2 linked regions of the Elephas maximus indicus genome follow. The protein of the gene in region 2 interacts with the protein of the main gene of each other region in a pairwise test. Links are inferred from orthologs where the notes say so. Each region holds a gene or a part of one and is shown on either strand. Other genes may lie near its edges.

Evidence for each region.
Region 1: the proteins of TPM3 (region 2) and IKBIP interact in a two-hybrid assay, tested with the Homo sapiens proteins (2 studies listed by BioGRID). The two-hybrid records come from large-scale screens. The link is inferred for Elephas maximus indicus from reciprocal best matches to the Homo sapiens genes TPM3 and IKBIP.

Annotation. Positions count from the first base shown.
Region 1 is NC_064822.1:164,576,932-164,584,220, reverse strand, and holds the start of IKBIP (inhibitor of nuclear factor kappa-B kinase-interacting protein), read left to right. Parts: upstream 1-4,238; 5' UTR 4,239-4,638; coding exon 4,639-4,814; intron 4,815-7,289. Other genes in the region: APAF1 (apoptotic protease-activating factor 1), read right to left, coding at 239-428, 564-701. UniProt on the Homo sapiens protein: Target of p53/TP53 with pro-apoptotic function.
Region 2 is NC_064821.1:191,974,307-191,982,103, reverse strand, and holds the start of TPM3 (tropomyosin alpha-3 chain), read left to right. Parts: upstream 1-4,730; 5' UTR 4,731-4,788; coding exon 4,789-4,905; intron 4,906-5,477; coding exon 5,478-5,603; intron 5,604-7,797. UniProt on the Homo sapiens protein: Binds to actin filaments in muscle and non-muscle cells. Plays a central role, in association with the troponin complex, in the calcium dependent regulation of vertebrate striated muscle contraction.

The DNA of each region.
Region 1 (7,289 bases), on a different chromosome or scaffold from region 2:
TCTAAAAATTAGTATATCAGTATTATTAACTCAGGAGTAAATTGCTCACTGGGCAAAAAGAAAATGTGAGGGTTAACATGGATACAAATAAAAATATTTAAACTAGAAAACAACATCACAATTTTTTCACATGCATTTCTCAGTGAACTGATCATAGTGTCTTGGGCAGGCTCCATCTACAGTAAGACAAAACTGCAGCAATATAGCCAACGTGATAGAAGGCATCATGGATACAAACCATATGAAGTTATTCCACCAACTGAATCTTTGCCATTGGAAGAAGAGACATCAGGAAGACCACCGCGGAGACGGTCAGCCAGATCTCTATACCCCTCATGCAGTAGAGCATTGTAGAATGATATGTAGGAATAATTATCTTTTTGAAGTATCATTTTAATTAGCATAGCTGCTCGCTGCTGTTGAGTGGGCTAAAAAAAAAAATTAAGTAGTTTAGCATACAATAATTAACACTTTTGCAACAAAAATTAGTGGAGACCAGTGCAAGTTATGAAATAAATTCTAAAACATTTTAAGAAATCATAGACCACCTCAAGGGTCTTTACCTCAATTTTCACTTTTTCCTCCTCCAATAATGTTAAAACTCCATCACTAATCATGTGATCCATGATATAGGCTGTCTTGATGTCCCTTTCCAGGGCTTCTCTGTGTTGAAGTAAACAATTTCGAGCTTTTGCATCCATCCTCCCTCAAATTTTTCTCTCTCTTCTAAGCTGTCAACCATGAGCTGCAGGCAGAACACCAAAATACATGTAAGGCCAATAAAGATATGAAAAGATGTACAATCTCACTGGTAATCAATAAATGTAAATAAAACAAGATCATTTTCTGTAAAGGTTTTTATAAATGAAACCCAGTGTTTCAAAGCCGTGAAAAAATGGACATTTCTTATGGGTATTCTCAGAGTACAAAATTAATGCAACTTTTCTGGATGGCAAGATGGTAAGATATAGAACTGTTTAAAATAAGCATTCTTTTTACTCTTCCTAACAATTTACCTCAAGTACCAAAAAACCAAATCCACTGCCGTCGAGTCGATTCCCATAGGACCGAGCAGAACTGCCACATAGGGTTTCCAAAGCTGTAATATTGATGAAAACAGACCGCCACATCTCTGTCCCACAAAGCAGCTGGTGGGTTCGAACCGCTGACCTTTTAGTTAGCGGCCAAGTATTTAACCACTGTACCACCAGGGCTCCTTTTTTACCTCAAGTAGAAATGTACATATATATGCAAAAATACCCTTTATTTAACAGAAAGTGTTTAGGTGGGAAAAAGATGAAAACAATCTAAATGTCCATCATTCTGAATACGGATGAAAAAAACCAGGGTACAAACATCAAATGGAATATTACACAGCTATTTAAAATAACACAAATGTCTATATACTGACACGGAAAGATGTTCATAACACATTGCTGAGTAAAAACATAGAAATATGTTCTTATATATAACACAAAATGTTTGTATCACATAAACATGGGGGAGATGTTCAGAAGTTTGTTCATCAAAACGTGTGGGTTATTCTGAGTGAAATAAGTCAATCACAGAAGGACAAATATTATATGACCTCACTTATATTAAAAAACAAGAGACAAAAAAACAAGAGACCAAAGTTTATTAATTACCAAGGGCAGGAGGGAGGGAAAAAGAGGGGCAGTTGCTTGCTCATGGAGAAGCCCAGGCGACCCAGTGTTTAAGCACTAACTGAAAGGTTGGCAGCATCTTCCAGGGACAAAGACATGGCAGTCTGCCTCTGTAAAGATTCACCAAAATGAAACCCAATGCCATTGAGTCAATTCCAACAGCCTTGGAAACCCACAGGGCAGTTGTACTCTGTCCTATAGGATTGACTCAACAGCAATGGGTTTGGTTTTGGTTTATATAGGATCAAATTGATAACTACTGCAAAGTTATATAGGAAACTTACGGGGCAGTGAGTTTATCCTAATGGAGAGAAACAACTCAGAAAAGGAGGGTGAGAATGGTTACAGAACTCAAAGAATATAATCAATGTCACCGAATTGTACACATAGGAACTGTTGAATTGGTGTATGTTTTGCTCTGTATATTCTCAACAACAACAAAAAAAATTCTTTTAAGTGTTATTTCCAAGGAGCAGGATTTGGGTTTTTTTTTTTTAATATTAGTTTTTTTCAATACACATTATATTGTATCAGTTTTACTATAAAACCACTCTTTATAGATTGAAATTTAATAAAATAGCAATCATATGAAGTTCTAATGTTTCAAAATTTCTCATTTTCTTTATCCAGAATAAAGTTTTGTTGGTATTGAGTATACACACTGAAGGTGTGTGTTAGCTGTAGGTCTTCAGCTGTAAACACATTTCTCACTTGTTCACTCCACTGAAGTTTCATCTAAGCCTTTAAGTATGACAAAGTAACAGGAAATAACTTCTGATGTCATTTCTTAGATTAAGAGGACACAAAGAAAGAATATTCTCTACAATAAAACAAGTTTCTACCAACTTTATTTCAAATATAACTCAAATTTTTCCACGGGTATAAAACCCAAATCAGAACGCTTTCAAGTTTTTAAAACAAACACAACTACATCCAGTGTATTACACTGAAAGTGTCTAAATGGGTTTGTTAAATAAATTTATTCATTCGATAAACATTTGCGCCGCTACTATTTGCCAGGCACTGAGAATACAGAGGCGATTAACTCATATTCCTGAATAAATCCACAATCCAGTCTAAGAAAAATAAAGAGACAATTAGAATGTGATGTAATACACAAATAAAATAGAGTTAAGCAAAAATTATTTAACGCTCAGAAGAGGGATAATAACCATAAGCTTTTTTTTTTTCAACAATGACCGGAATTTTTTTTTTTTAAAGTCATTAAATGTGGCACTTGCAAAAATATGGTAATGGAAGCATTTGCCTACACAAAAAAAAAAAAAAAAAAAATTTTGTCACGTTTCAGAAACGCCCAGTACTACCATGAAATTAACTGATAAAAGAAAAAATTATGATTAGAATCAAGGATATCATATTTTTAAAATATTAATAATGTTTTTATTCGCCTAATTTAAACATAAACGTTCCTCGATTAGACAAAAGTGAACTTTTAGGTTAGGTCCAATTGCTAAGAAATAGACACTCTTTGTCAATCTAAAACTAATTTCCAATTTTGCCCATCCTTATTAACCTTAAATACGTAAACTGTAAAACACGTTTTTAAACTCTTCACAAACTGAAGTATTTTGAACAAATTCTCAATTTGTAAATTTTGTAACACACCAAGAAGTAAAGCCAAAACTCTTCACAGGAATAAAATTGAAACCTTAACAGTTCACTGCTTCCTCATTAGATAATTTCCTAATAACGGCAGCAAAACGGTTACCAAATATTCCATATTCCCGAATCCTCCGTCTCTGAAATCTGCTACCGATCCTCCAAAGAATCTGGCTCAGGGCGAAAAGCCGTCAGGCACTTACCCAAACCTCGGTGCCAAGGGCTCAATGGGACCAGCAGCCCCGCGGGGGCAGGCCGGCCAGGGTTAAAGGTAGCTGGGGCCTCCGACGAGGAACTTCTCAACGTCCTAGCACCTCGGGCCAGGCCTCACAGGTGCCTCACCTGCGCCTCCGCAGCCCGGGGCGCCTGAAGACCCTGGGGGACTCGAGATGCCCGGAAGCGGGCGTCACCTCCGCCGCCGGACCTCACAGCCCCAGGGCGCCGAGGTGAGGCCCGGCCCGCGGGCCGCTCTCCCGGCGGATCCCGCCCCAGGACACAAAGGGAAAAGGGCCACTTGGGGATGTCGCTCCCTCGTTCCGGTGGTAGCTGCACCCCGGGGGGAGCCGGCGACACTCCGGACGCCGCTGCGACCCTTTCACGTCCTCGCTGGTCCCTGAGGGCCCCGGTGCCTCCCCTCCCGCTCCCTCAATCTTTCTACCCAGAGATAAAGCATCCCAGCCACTCGTTTTCGCCTCCAGTCGGCTACAGTACCGCTGAGCAATCAAAACCCGCCCGGCCCGCCCAGTCTGGACAGCGCGCGCCCGCGCACGCAAATAAACACCCCCGGAGCCCCTTGGGGAGGACGCCGCCGCGCGCGCTCCCGCAGAGAAGAGCCCGCCCAGTCAGGACAGCGCGCGCCCGCGCACGCAAATAAACACCCCCGGAGCCCCTTGGGGAGGACGCCGCCGCGCGCGCTCCCGCAGAGAAGAGCCCGCCCCCCGCTTGGGGGGCGTGGCTAAGCCACACGGGCGCGCGGGGCTCCCAGAAGGGAAGGCTGAGGCGGCGGCGGCGCGCTCTAAGTGGCGCGCGCGCGACCTGGCCGCGCCCCCTCGGATCTCGGAGGCTTACACCCGCCCGGGAGCTTCGATTTCCTCACTTTTGGGGCAGTTACAAGACGGAAGGCGGAAGTGGGGGGTCGCTGGACGCCCCACCCGAAGACCGGCTGCTGGGAGATGCTGTGAAGCGGCAAGTGCATCCCAGAAAGCGAGAGGGGCTGGCTCGTGGGCGGTGCCACGTCTGGGAGGGGGCGCCGTCTCCGCCCCCGCTTCGGGAGGAGGCCGAAGCGGCCACGTCCATTCCCCCGGGGTGAAGAAGCGGCCCCACCTCGGGCTTGTACTCCTCACGGCCTCCAAACATGTCCGAGGTGAAGAGCCGGAAGAAGTCAGCGCCCAAGGCAGCGCCCGCGGAGCCCGGGAAGCGGAGCGAGGGCGGGAAGAGCCCCGAGGCCCGGGGCAGTGGAGGCAGGGGCTGGGCGGACCCCCGGACGGGCCTGAGCCTGCTGTCGCTGGGGACATGCCTGGGCCTCGCCTGGTAAGTGGACGCGAGACATGGGGGAGCCGGCCGCGCAGCTGCCCGCGTCCTGCGTCCTGCCTCCTGTGGTCGCTCCGCTCTTTGGGATCACGTCCTTGCCCCGGCCCCAGCCGGCTCAGCGCCCCGCTAACCTTCAACCTCCAGATTGTTCCTCTGTCTCTAGTTTCTTTTCCTCCTTTTTTGTAATTTTCCTTTGTACTGGTAGCATGTTCTCTACCGCTTAATTGGAGTTGAGGCTAAGGTTTAGGAACATTTCAGCCATTTCTTAAGAGATGGCAGATGATTCCAAACTTTATAAATTAAAACGTCTACTACACGTCGGAAGCTTTTGCGTTTTTCTAAACCGTTACTTCCTATCCCATTGCATTTGTCCAGGACAGTCCCCTCTTCCTCCCTCTCCCCACCGTAAATGTCTAATGGAAAAGTTTGCAACTTTAAAAAGAACTCATTGTGGTTTCAAAGCAACAGACGTTGAAGATAATGTCAAAGTTTGGAGGATTTCCCATTTTTTGAAGACTATGTATTATGAGCTTAGAGTCTTTTCCTAAGTTACAGATTGAACTCTAATTACTGTAAAGGTACAAAAGTACAGTAGTTGTGTTCACTTGAAACTAAGCATTTATAGTTTTTAAACCAAATAAATAGTGACGTATTGATGCCATAGGGAAAACGAATGTAGAAATAACCTTAAAACCACCTTCCTGATTTTATTTTCTCCAGTCATTTTCTTTAAAAAGAGGGGAAAAAAACCTATTTCATTTTAGTAACAATACTGACACTTTAAATTAGAAAATCCCTCTATTTTTCACCACAATGTTAAAATATTTAGAAGATCGTTTTTTAACAATCCTGGAGTCCCTGCGTGGTGCATCCGATTAAGAGCTTATGAACTAACCAAAAGGGTGGTGCTTCTAACCCATCCAGAGGCACTGGGAAGAAAGACCTGGTTTCGAGAAACGTCACAACCATAGAAAAAACTCTACGGAGAACAGTTATACTCTGCAACACGTGGGGTCCCCATGAGTCAGAACAAACATGATGGCACCTGGTTTTGTTTATTTTTGTTTGTTATTTATTAAAAATCTCAGAGCAGTAAAGAAGGGTCCCCGGACATCCTCTAGCCTAGAACATTTGTGATGCTAGTATATTTCTAATTGTACTTCACTGATAACTTATCTGAGAGTTGTTTATTTTTCACCCAAGTTAGTAGAAGATCTATTACAATAAAGTGAAAAGTTGATTATTAGATGTTCTTTTCCAAAAAAGATTTAATGTTTCATTTTACTAATGTGGTTTTTTTGTTTAGGTGATATTTTTTATCTGGAAAGAATAAATGTACTGAATTTACTGTTTTAGGTAAACTGCTCTTATGCCTAAAAATGCATGTCCTTTTTAGAAAATAAAAAACCCTTGTTGGGGAAGTTATTCAGTAATAGAATTTAGCAAAATAAAAGATACATTGCTTCACTTGGGAACATAATACAACTGGTTTTAGTTATGAAATATATTAGTTTAATTCTCATTAATTAGCCAAAGTTTCATATTCACATGAGATAATAAAATGATCAGCTTTTCAGTATTTAGTTATTGTCCTGGAAAAAAGCTCCAATAGGAAACTAAATTTTAAGGGGAAAAAAGTGTCGGAAGACCGATGCTAAAGCTCAGGAATTTACTGTTAGTGTCTGCAATAAAAACAAACATGTTCCATTCAATAAAAAGAAAAAAAAATTTTTTTTTTTTTTTAGGGAGATTTTATTTGAACTGTGTCATTGCAAAATAATAAAACAATGGTGAATCAAATTATTTCTGTGGCATATTCTATGATTGTTTATGAAAATAGTTGGCTTTGTTAATTGTCCTAGTGAAATCTTTACCACAAGAGTTGAAGTATATATACTTTAGTCATTTTTTATCGTAAATGATTTATCCACGATAAATTCAGGAATAACATTTTATCCTGGTAAAACATTTGCAAGCATTTCCCAAATAAAAGACATGTTGGCATCTCTTAAAGCATGTAAAAGCTTTACCACTTCAAGACATACTTCTGCATCTAAAAGTTGGCCCATCAAGTCTTTATTGAAAGCTTACTGTACTGACATTGTTCTGGTTACGATACAACAGTGAATAATAATGTTTGCCCGTGTACTCTTAAATGCAGCTTATCCATCCTTTGTCTAATTAAGTTGGGAAAAATCTGAACCAATTCATGGCCCAAGAAGGATTTCAAGGCATGACATTGTATAATTGTTTTCAGACCTTGTCTTAGTTAACTAAATGCTGCTGTAACAGAAGTATCACAGGTAGGTAGCTTTAAAGAACAGAAATTTATTTTCTCATAGTTTAGAAGGCTGGAAGTGGGAATTCAGGACATGGCTGTAGTGGGAGGCCCTCTCTTGTGTATTTCAGCTTGCAAGCACAATCCTTGTCTGTCTCCATCACCTGCCTTTAACCCTCTGTCTGTGTCCCTGTGTA
Region 2 (7,797 bases):
GGCTCTTAGTTGTCGTGTGACCTTGGTGTTCTTCATTCTCCTTTGATCCAGGTGGGTTGAGACCAATTGATGCATCTTAGATGGCCGCTTGTTAGCATTTAAGACCCCAGACGCCACATTTCAAAGTGGGATGCAGAATGTTTTCATAATAGAATTATCTTGCCAATTGACTTAGAAGTCCCCTTAAACCATGTTCCCCAAACCCCCGCCCTTGCTCCGCTGACCTTTGAAGCATTCATTTCATCCTGGAAACTTCTTTGCTTTTGGTCCAGTCCAATTGAGCTGACCTTCCATGTATTGAGTGTTGTCCTTCCCTTCACCTAAAGCAGTTCTTATCTACTAATTAATCAGTAAAAAACCCTCTCCCTTCCTTCCTCCCTCCCTCCCCCCCTCATAACCACGAAAGTATGTGTTCTTCTCAGTTTATACTATTTCTGAAGATCTTATAATTGTGATCTTATACAATATTAGTCCTTTTGCCTCTAATTTTGCTCAGCATAATGCCTTCCAGGTTCCTCCATGTTATGAAATGTTTCACAGATTCGTCACTGTTCTTTATCGATGTGTAGTATTCCATTGTGTGAATATACCACAATTTATTTACCCATTCATCTGTTGACGGACACCTTGGTTGTTTCCAGCTTTTTGCTATTGTAAACAGAGCTGCAATAAACATGGGTGTGCATATATCTGTTTGTGTGAAGGCTCTTGTTTCTCTAGGGTATATTCTGAGGAGTGGGATTTCTGGGTTGTATGGTAGTTCTATTTCTAACTGTTTAAGATAACGCCAGATAGATTTCCAAAGTGGTTGTACCATTTTACATTCCCACTAGCAGTGTATAAGAGTTCCAATCTCTCCGCAGCCTCTCCAACATTTATTATTTTGTGTTTTTTGGATTAATGCCAGCCTTGTTGGAGTGAGATGGAATCTCATCGTAGTTTTAATTTGCATTTCTCTAATGGCTAATGATCGAGAGCATTTTCTCATGTATCTGTTAGCTGCCTGTATATCTTCTTTAGTGAAGTGTGTGTTCATATCCTTTGCCCACCTCTTGATTGGGTTGTTTGTCTTTTTGTGGTTGAGTTTTGACAGAGTCATATAGATTTTAGAGATCAGGCACTGGTCGGAGATGTCATAGCTGAAAATTCTTTCTCCCCAGACTGTTTTTTCTCCAGCCTCTGGTTCTCCATTGTGGCCAAGGTTCTCAGAGAAGGCACTAGAACTTGCGGGGTGGGAGTGAGGGGAAAAAGGGAGGGCAGAAAAGCAAAACTTATACCCTCTCGCATTGTGAGCCATAAAGGAACAAGGACATAACACCACAGGTGCCTAGCCTGAGGTCTACACGTCCATTTGTTAGTCTTCCCACAGAAGGCAAGAGCCATACAACAGGACTGACTAGGGCTTGGGACAAGTTATTGATCTCTTTCAAGGGCAGAGTGGAGTTGGAGTGGGGGGAAGTGTCCAGGCTAATGGGAGCAAGGACACATGGAACAGGCCTGGGGGCTGAAGCAGAGCCTCCACCCCAAACCCTGCACTTCCACCCAAGCCCCCCAGCCCCCAGTGCAGCTATAACCTGAGTTCCTTTCTGCCACAGTACAGAGAAGCATCAGCCTGCCACTGATATCAACAGACCTGATTCTTTTCAGAAGAAAAATCCCCTAGAAGAGAACCAGGCTGGATCCCTGAGGGAAGACCCTTGGAGAAGGCAGCCCAAGCGCTGGAATTCTTACAGTTAAAAGTCCCAGAAGAGGAGGAGAGTCCCAAGGACTGCAGGCTACTCCCTGGCAGTGGGGGTTTCCTTCTTCACCCCTGATCTCCTGTAGTCTTAGTTTCAATTCTGCCAGGCAAGGGAGACCATAAGTCTTCTCCTCTGGGGCCCAGGCTGGAGGCTACAAGACTTGCAGAGGACAGGATAAAACCCAGACCCTGCTTATGAGACAGGTCACTCTTCTGTATAGGACAACCAAGGGCGACTTCAAGGAGGATGCCTGGAGGACATGAGAAGGTGAGAAGGAACAGGATGGTGGAAAGAGGCCAAGCATTTGGGAAGTTTCTCATGGCTACTTAGCTACAGCATTTAAGAGCAAGATGGTGTCCACAGAATAGACCTCAGCTGTCTTGCGGGCAAGATCTGGAAAGGTTAGGAGTTCTACTGGAAAAAGAAAGCAGGGTGTACAAGCCACCCTCCCAACCTCACCCAAAATGGAAAGCCTCGGGGCAGTTGGAGTGGAGTTGAGGAGAACAGGTGGCAAGGCTGCTGAGGAGTTGCTGACACTGCTGATCCTCTGTGCGCTGGGGCCGTGACTTCAGGGGGAGAAGCTCCATGTGGGAGTTTTTGAGAATAGGTGCCCGGATGTGGAGCCCTGCCAGGTATTCCTCCTGGTGTAAGCCATTGTGATCCAGCAAAGGCCAGGCACTAGTAGGCGAGGAGCTAAGGCAGGAATGGCATGAAGGGCAGATAAGCAAGAGCTGGCTGTCTTGAGAGGTGAAGAGCAGGGGCCAGTGACCTTCCCCAAGAGATGGCTCTTCATCTAACCATGACTGGTGCCTGGTTTATCTGCTCTGTCTTTTCTTTGCAGTGGGGAGAAAGACAAATGACCACGAAAGCTCTCCTGCCTGCTTCTGTATGATATGTTTGATATTGGGTTGTTTAATTAGGAGCCAACTAAATGTCAAACATATTCTTACAGCAGTTGGCAATTCAGCAGCACACTCTTTTCTACCTCAACCTCTGGGGATCCTGTCTTTTCTATTGAACTTCTCTTCAGGACCCCCTCTGGCATATTAGTGGCTGCAACCCATGAAGATTTCAATCTTAAGCTAGAGGGATGGTGTATGAGTGGGATGAGAGTTGGAATTTCCCCCTTAGTAGATAAGATTTCTCTCTTTACCTCTCCTCTCCTTTCCTTGTATTTTTTCATTCAAGTCCCCCTCCCCACTTATTATCCACTGCTTCCCACCCCTGGGACTCTCTTGTTCCTAATCCATTTCCCTGGCTGGTCTGCACATTAGAGGTCTTTGGTCTCTTGCTTTCCTTCAAGTGTTATCTGACCGTTTATCTATTTATCTCTAGTGACTGCAAGCTCTCAGTTCTCAAGAGTGGACTCCAGCTCTGTCCTATGCCTTGCTGGTCGTTTCAGTTTCTTCATTGCTGGGGCATAGCATTAACACCATCCATCTAGCCTTGACATAATGATTCATTTGAGCCATTTATATTCTTCCCTGTTAGCTCTGGTCACCTTGAACAGTGCCCACCGCTCTCCTGGCATACTCTCAGGTTTTATGGTGCCAGTGTGATCAACTGCCACCTGTCAGCAATGAGGCTCCAAGTGGAAGAATGAACACGCCCTGGAACTAAGCTGGGGAGAATAGAGTTGATGATGATGATTATTTTGACGAGTGGTGGTGGGGGTGGGGATAAAGAGAGGGTAAAGGGTGACGGAAAGAAGAGTAGAAAGCAACAGAGTCACGGGGTGGATTATCCAATAGGCAAGGTAAGCTTACCTTGCCTACCAGATCATCTGGAATGAACAATTTCATTACAGATTAGTTAAGTAAGCACAAGTAAGCCTGTGCTTACTTTGCTTACTGGGTCATCTTATGACTGTCAGTTTAAAAAAAGGCTTTGATTCTGCAGGAAGGTGCTGTGAGGTTGGGACAGAGACAGATGCCAGCCATACCTAGAAGCAGAATCTTCGATGTGGTGAAAAAATGTGAAATTGTTCACTACGGATGATCTGGTAACCTTGTGCTTACTTGTCTATTGGATAACCCTCCCCCGTCCCCCGACCCGAGCACACCCATTGGTCCGTGTGGGTACAAAAGTTCTATTTAAAGATCACTATGGGAAAACGGAGCCTTGCTGGCACAGTGGTTAAGAGTTTGGCTGCTAACCAAAAGGTCAGCAGTTCAAATCCACAAGCCGCTCCTTGGACATCCTATGGGGGAGTTCTACTTTGTCCTATAGGGTTGCTATGAGTCAGAATCGACTCAATGGCAATGGGCTTTTTTTAATGGGAAATCAGCATGATCCTGTCTGGCTCACTCTAACCCTATCCTAGTTTAAGCTCTGAGATGGCCTTCCAGATCTCAACCTACCCTCTTACTCCATCCCTGTGGTTCTTAGCAGGGAGGAATGATGTCTCCCTTCTAATCAGGGACTCCCAAAATAGCAAAGCAATTTGATCTTGGGATCTAGGGGAATTGTTAAGGATCATGAGTGACCTCCCCTCTTCACTGTTGCCCAGGCTCCCTGGATACCAGGAATCAAAAGATGAAACCCAACCAGTGGAATCTGATCACCATCCAACTCAGTCTGGGTGACAGTAAGAGGAAAGCTGAAGGGCAACTGAGACTCTGGATGAAAACTCACGCCATCCTAAAATTGCCAAAGTACCCTTCCCTTTTCTATATCAATGTTTTCTCTTTCCCTCTCCCTGCTCTTGTAAAATACCCATAGAACTGCCTAGAATAAGTGGAAATTTTCAGGGTTGGTGAGAGTCTCCCCTCCTCCACTTTCCATTGTCTAAAGTCAGCCTCAGCTGTTCACAGATATTTCTTTGCCGGTGATGTCAGTCCATCAAAGTGTCTCACCCTGTGTTCCCCCAGGAGAATAACGATGGGGTGGAGAGAGATGGAAGGGCCATATTAGGAATAAGAGGTGGAGCCACAAGCAGAGATAAAGGCTTAAGTGTGGGAAACTTCTAGTCACTCAGGCAGCAGCCCTTCCTTTCTTGACCTAGTCTCCAGTTTCTAGTGCTCACAGGTGAGCCCAACAGCCACTGCTCATGATGGAGGCCATCAAGAAAAAGATGCAGATGCTGAAGTTGGACAAGGAGAATGCTCTGGATCGGGCAGAACAAGCTGAAGCTGAGCAGAAACAGGCAGAAGAAAGAAGTAAACAGGTAGGCACTGCCATGATGTCTTTCACCTCCTGATGAATAAGACTGAGATGGGAGAGAGTTTTCATGGGAAAAGCAGTGACCCCTGGTGCCAGCTCCTTCTTTAGGCAAGAGGGACTTTTCTTCCCAGCTTCCCTGGAGGGGCAGAGGACATCTGCGGTATCTGCCTCAGACTACCTGTGTGACCTCGGGAAAGTCAGTGATCCCCCTCAGAGCCACAGCATGTCTGCTGGATTTAAGTGGGAGGTGGATCATCTTTTGGAAGAGCCCGGAAAAGGCGGAAGGCCTGGCATGCAGCATCTCTTTTCCGTTAAATGGAGTCACAGGTATCTATAACCTTAGATATTGGATGCCAGGGTCTTGGATAAAAACCCTGGCATCCAACCCAACATAGGGTCACAGGCCAAGGCCGAAGCGTAACACTTGGAGCATTAGATTGGAAATGGCTGGGGAAAAAGTATGTCTCTGAGGATGGTAACATAGAGGCTGGGCTCCGGGGCCTAGTAGGGCTCAAGAGCCCAGGGTCCAAGACTGTACTGCTGTGTATATGTATGTGACTCTCTGGGCTCCTACAGCTGGAGGATGAGTTGGCAGCCATGCAGAAGAAGCTGAAAGGGACAGAGGATGAACTGGACAAGTATTCTGAGGCTTTGAAGGATGCCCAGGAGAAGCTGGAGCTGGCTGAGAAGAAGGCAGCTGATGTGAGTATTAGAGTTGGGGATGGGTTTAATCCACACATATAGATCTTGATGTTAATATGTGACTAAATTCCAAACACACTTTGACATATGCATACTTGTGGGTCCACAGACAGACATATGTATATACTCACATACATCTCTGCATCTAACCACATACTGGTATACTCTTGGAACAGCATATATTTTCTTCCTTAAAGAGATGTAGAAGTCTCATCTTTCTGTTGCACTGCCAGCCCAGGAATTTTATTCTTTCCCAAGAACTGGATAAAAGGAGAAGACTCCAAATCCAAGTTGCTATCACTTATCCTACCCTTCCCCCATGACACATTCTTAGCTTTTGTGTCCAAGGCTTGGCATGAAGATATGTGTATTAATAGGGAATCTCTCATCTCCCAACTACCCAACAAAGCCAGCTTGGATTTCACAATGGGACTAAGGAGGTCACATTGACTCTGGGCCTGTATAGGTTTCTTTATCTTGGCCAATTTGGGCATCTGATCTCAAGTAACAGAGATGCCATATGAAGCATTCTCATAGGACATCAGGGAGGTCCTTAGGGTGAAAGACTACAACAGAAACTAAGAAGGAATCTTAGAGGGCAAAAGTATCACCACCAGACCTTACTCTATAACCTTGAGTCAATTACTCAGCTTCTCTAGGGCTGAATTTTCCCATTTGAAAAATGAGATTAAATCTTCTTTCCCACTTCATGTTATCCCCGTTTCACTTAATACTCTCCATTTTCAACCTTGAAGTTTGCCACAAAGATAACTGAGAGACTAGATAGGAAAGTCTTTGGGGAGAAAACTACCATAGGAATCTTAACAGCGACAGAAGAATATCCTAGTGTTGATGGAGATAGAGTTAAAATGCTCAGCAAACTGAGTTAATAGGAAAACAAGAGCATGTCACTTAAAAATCACATTTGGTTTTGGAAAATAGCTAGAAGGAATGAATAAGCCATTCACAAATACTTTTGGATCCTTACACTCAGGCTTTTGCCATCAGGTTTCTATCTCCTGTTTGGCTTTCTATCACTTTCAGGGGCCCTGGGAAATGGTAAGGGTTGAATATATGATGCCAGAGACTAGCGACAGAAAGCAGTAATATACTTTATACGTACGTAGAGTTTCCAAATGTTTAGGCCACTGCAAACTATTAATACCCCATTCTTGGAAAACTGCAAAAAGTATGGATTACTCCAAGGGCTTTGGGCAAGTGCTTGATGGCATGCTGGAGTTGCCCTAGCCTAGGTCTGTGTATGGATGTGTGGATCTCTGGTTCCAAAAAACCGGCATACGGACAGAAGTTTTCACAAACTGGTACAGTAAACTGGCATAGGGATAGAAGTTTTCAGGAATTGGTACAATAAACCAGCGTAGGGAGACTTTTCACAAACTAGCACAATTTCAGGCTAGTAACATTTTTGTGAGATGTTGGGTAATAATTCTCTGGGAAAGTCCTTAGGCTGAAACAGCTAATATGTGCGCTTGAGGGGATGTTTCCAGGGGCAACAAAAAAAAAAGTTTAACCTGAATCTTAGGAAAGGCAGAGTGACATAGAGGCCCTTAACAATATATTAATATCATGGGGAAGATAAGAGAATTTCCTGGGGATGAATTCTGTCCATTCTAATCTATTTTACACACACACACATCATCCCCCACCCAGATATGGTCTTTGTTGCTAGTTGCCATCTAGTCAGCTCTGACTCGTGGTGATCTTACATATAACAGAGGTCTACTTAGTATATTCACTTGAACGAAATGTCTGACATTTATACAGGAATCCGCCAAAAACGTTTCAACATGTAAAATGTGGGTACAAAACTCATTCAACTTCTTCCCCCCTTACTAGCTAGTGCAACAAGTCAATAAGCACCATACACTTATTGGAATGGAAGAGGAAGGTTGTGGGCAGGAGACAAAAGTCTTCTAGGGTAGGTTGAGAAGGCAGCAGGCAGAAAAGGCATCTTTCCTCAAAGCTGGGGTCAGCAAACTAGCAACTGTAGGGTAAATCCAACTGCAGCCTGGTTTTGTAAATAAGGTTTTATTGGAACCCAGCCATGCCCATTCATATACAAATAAATCATGTGTACCGGATGCCTTCTCCCTACAACGGGAGTAACTGCCACAGAGACCTAATGGCCCACAAAGTCAAAAATATTTACTATCTGGCCCTTTACAGAAAAACT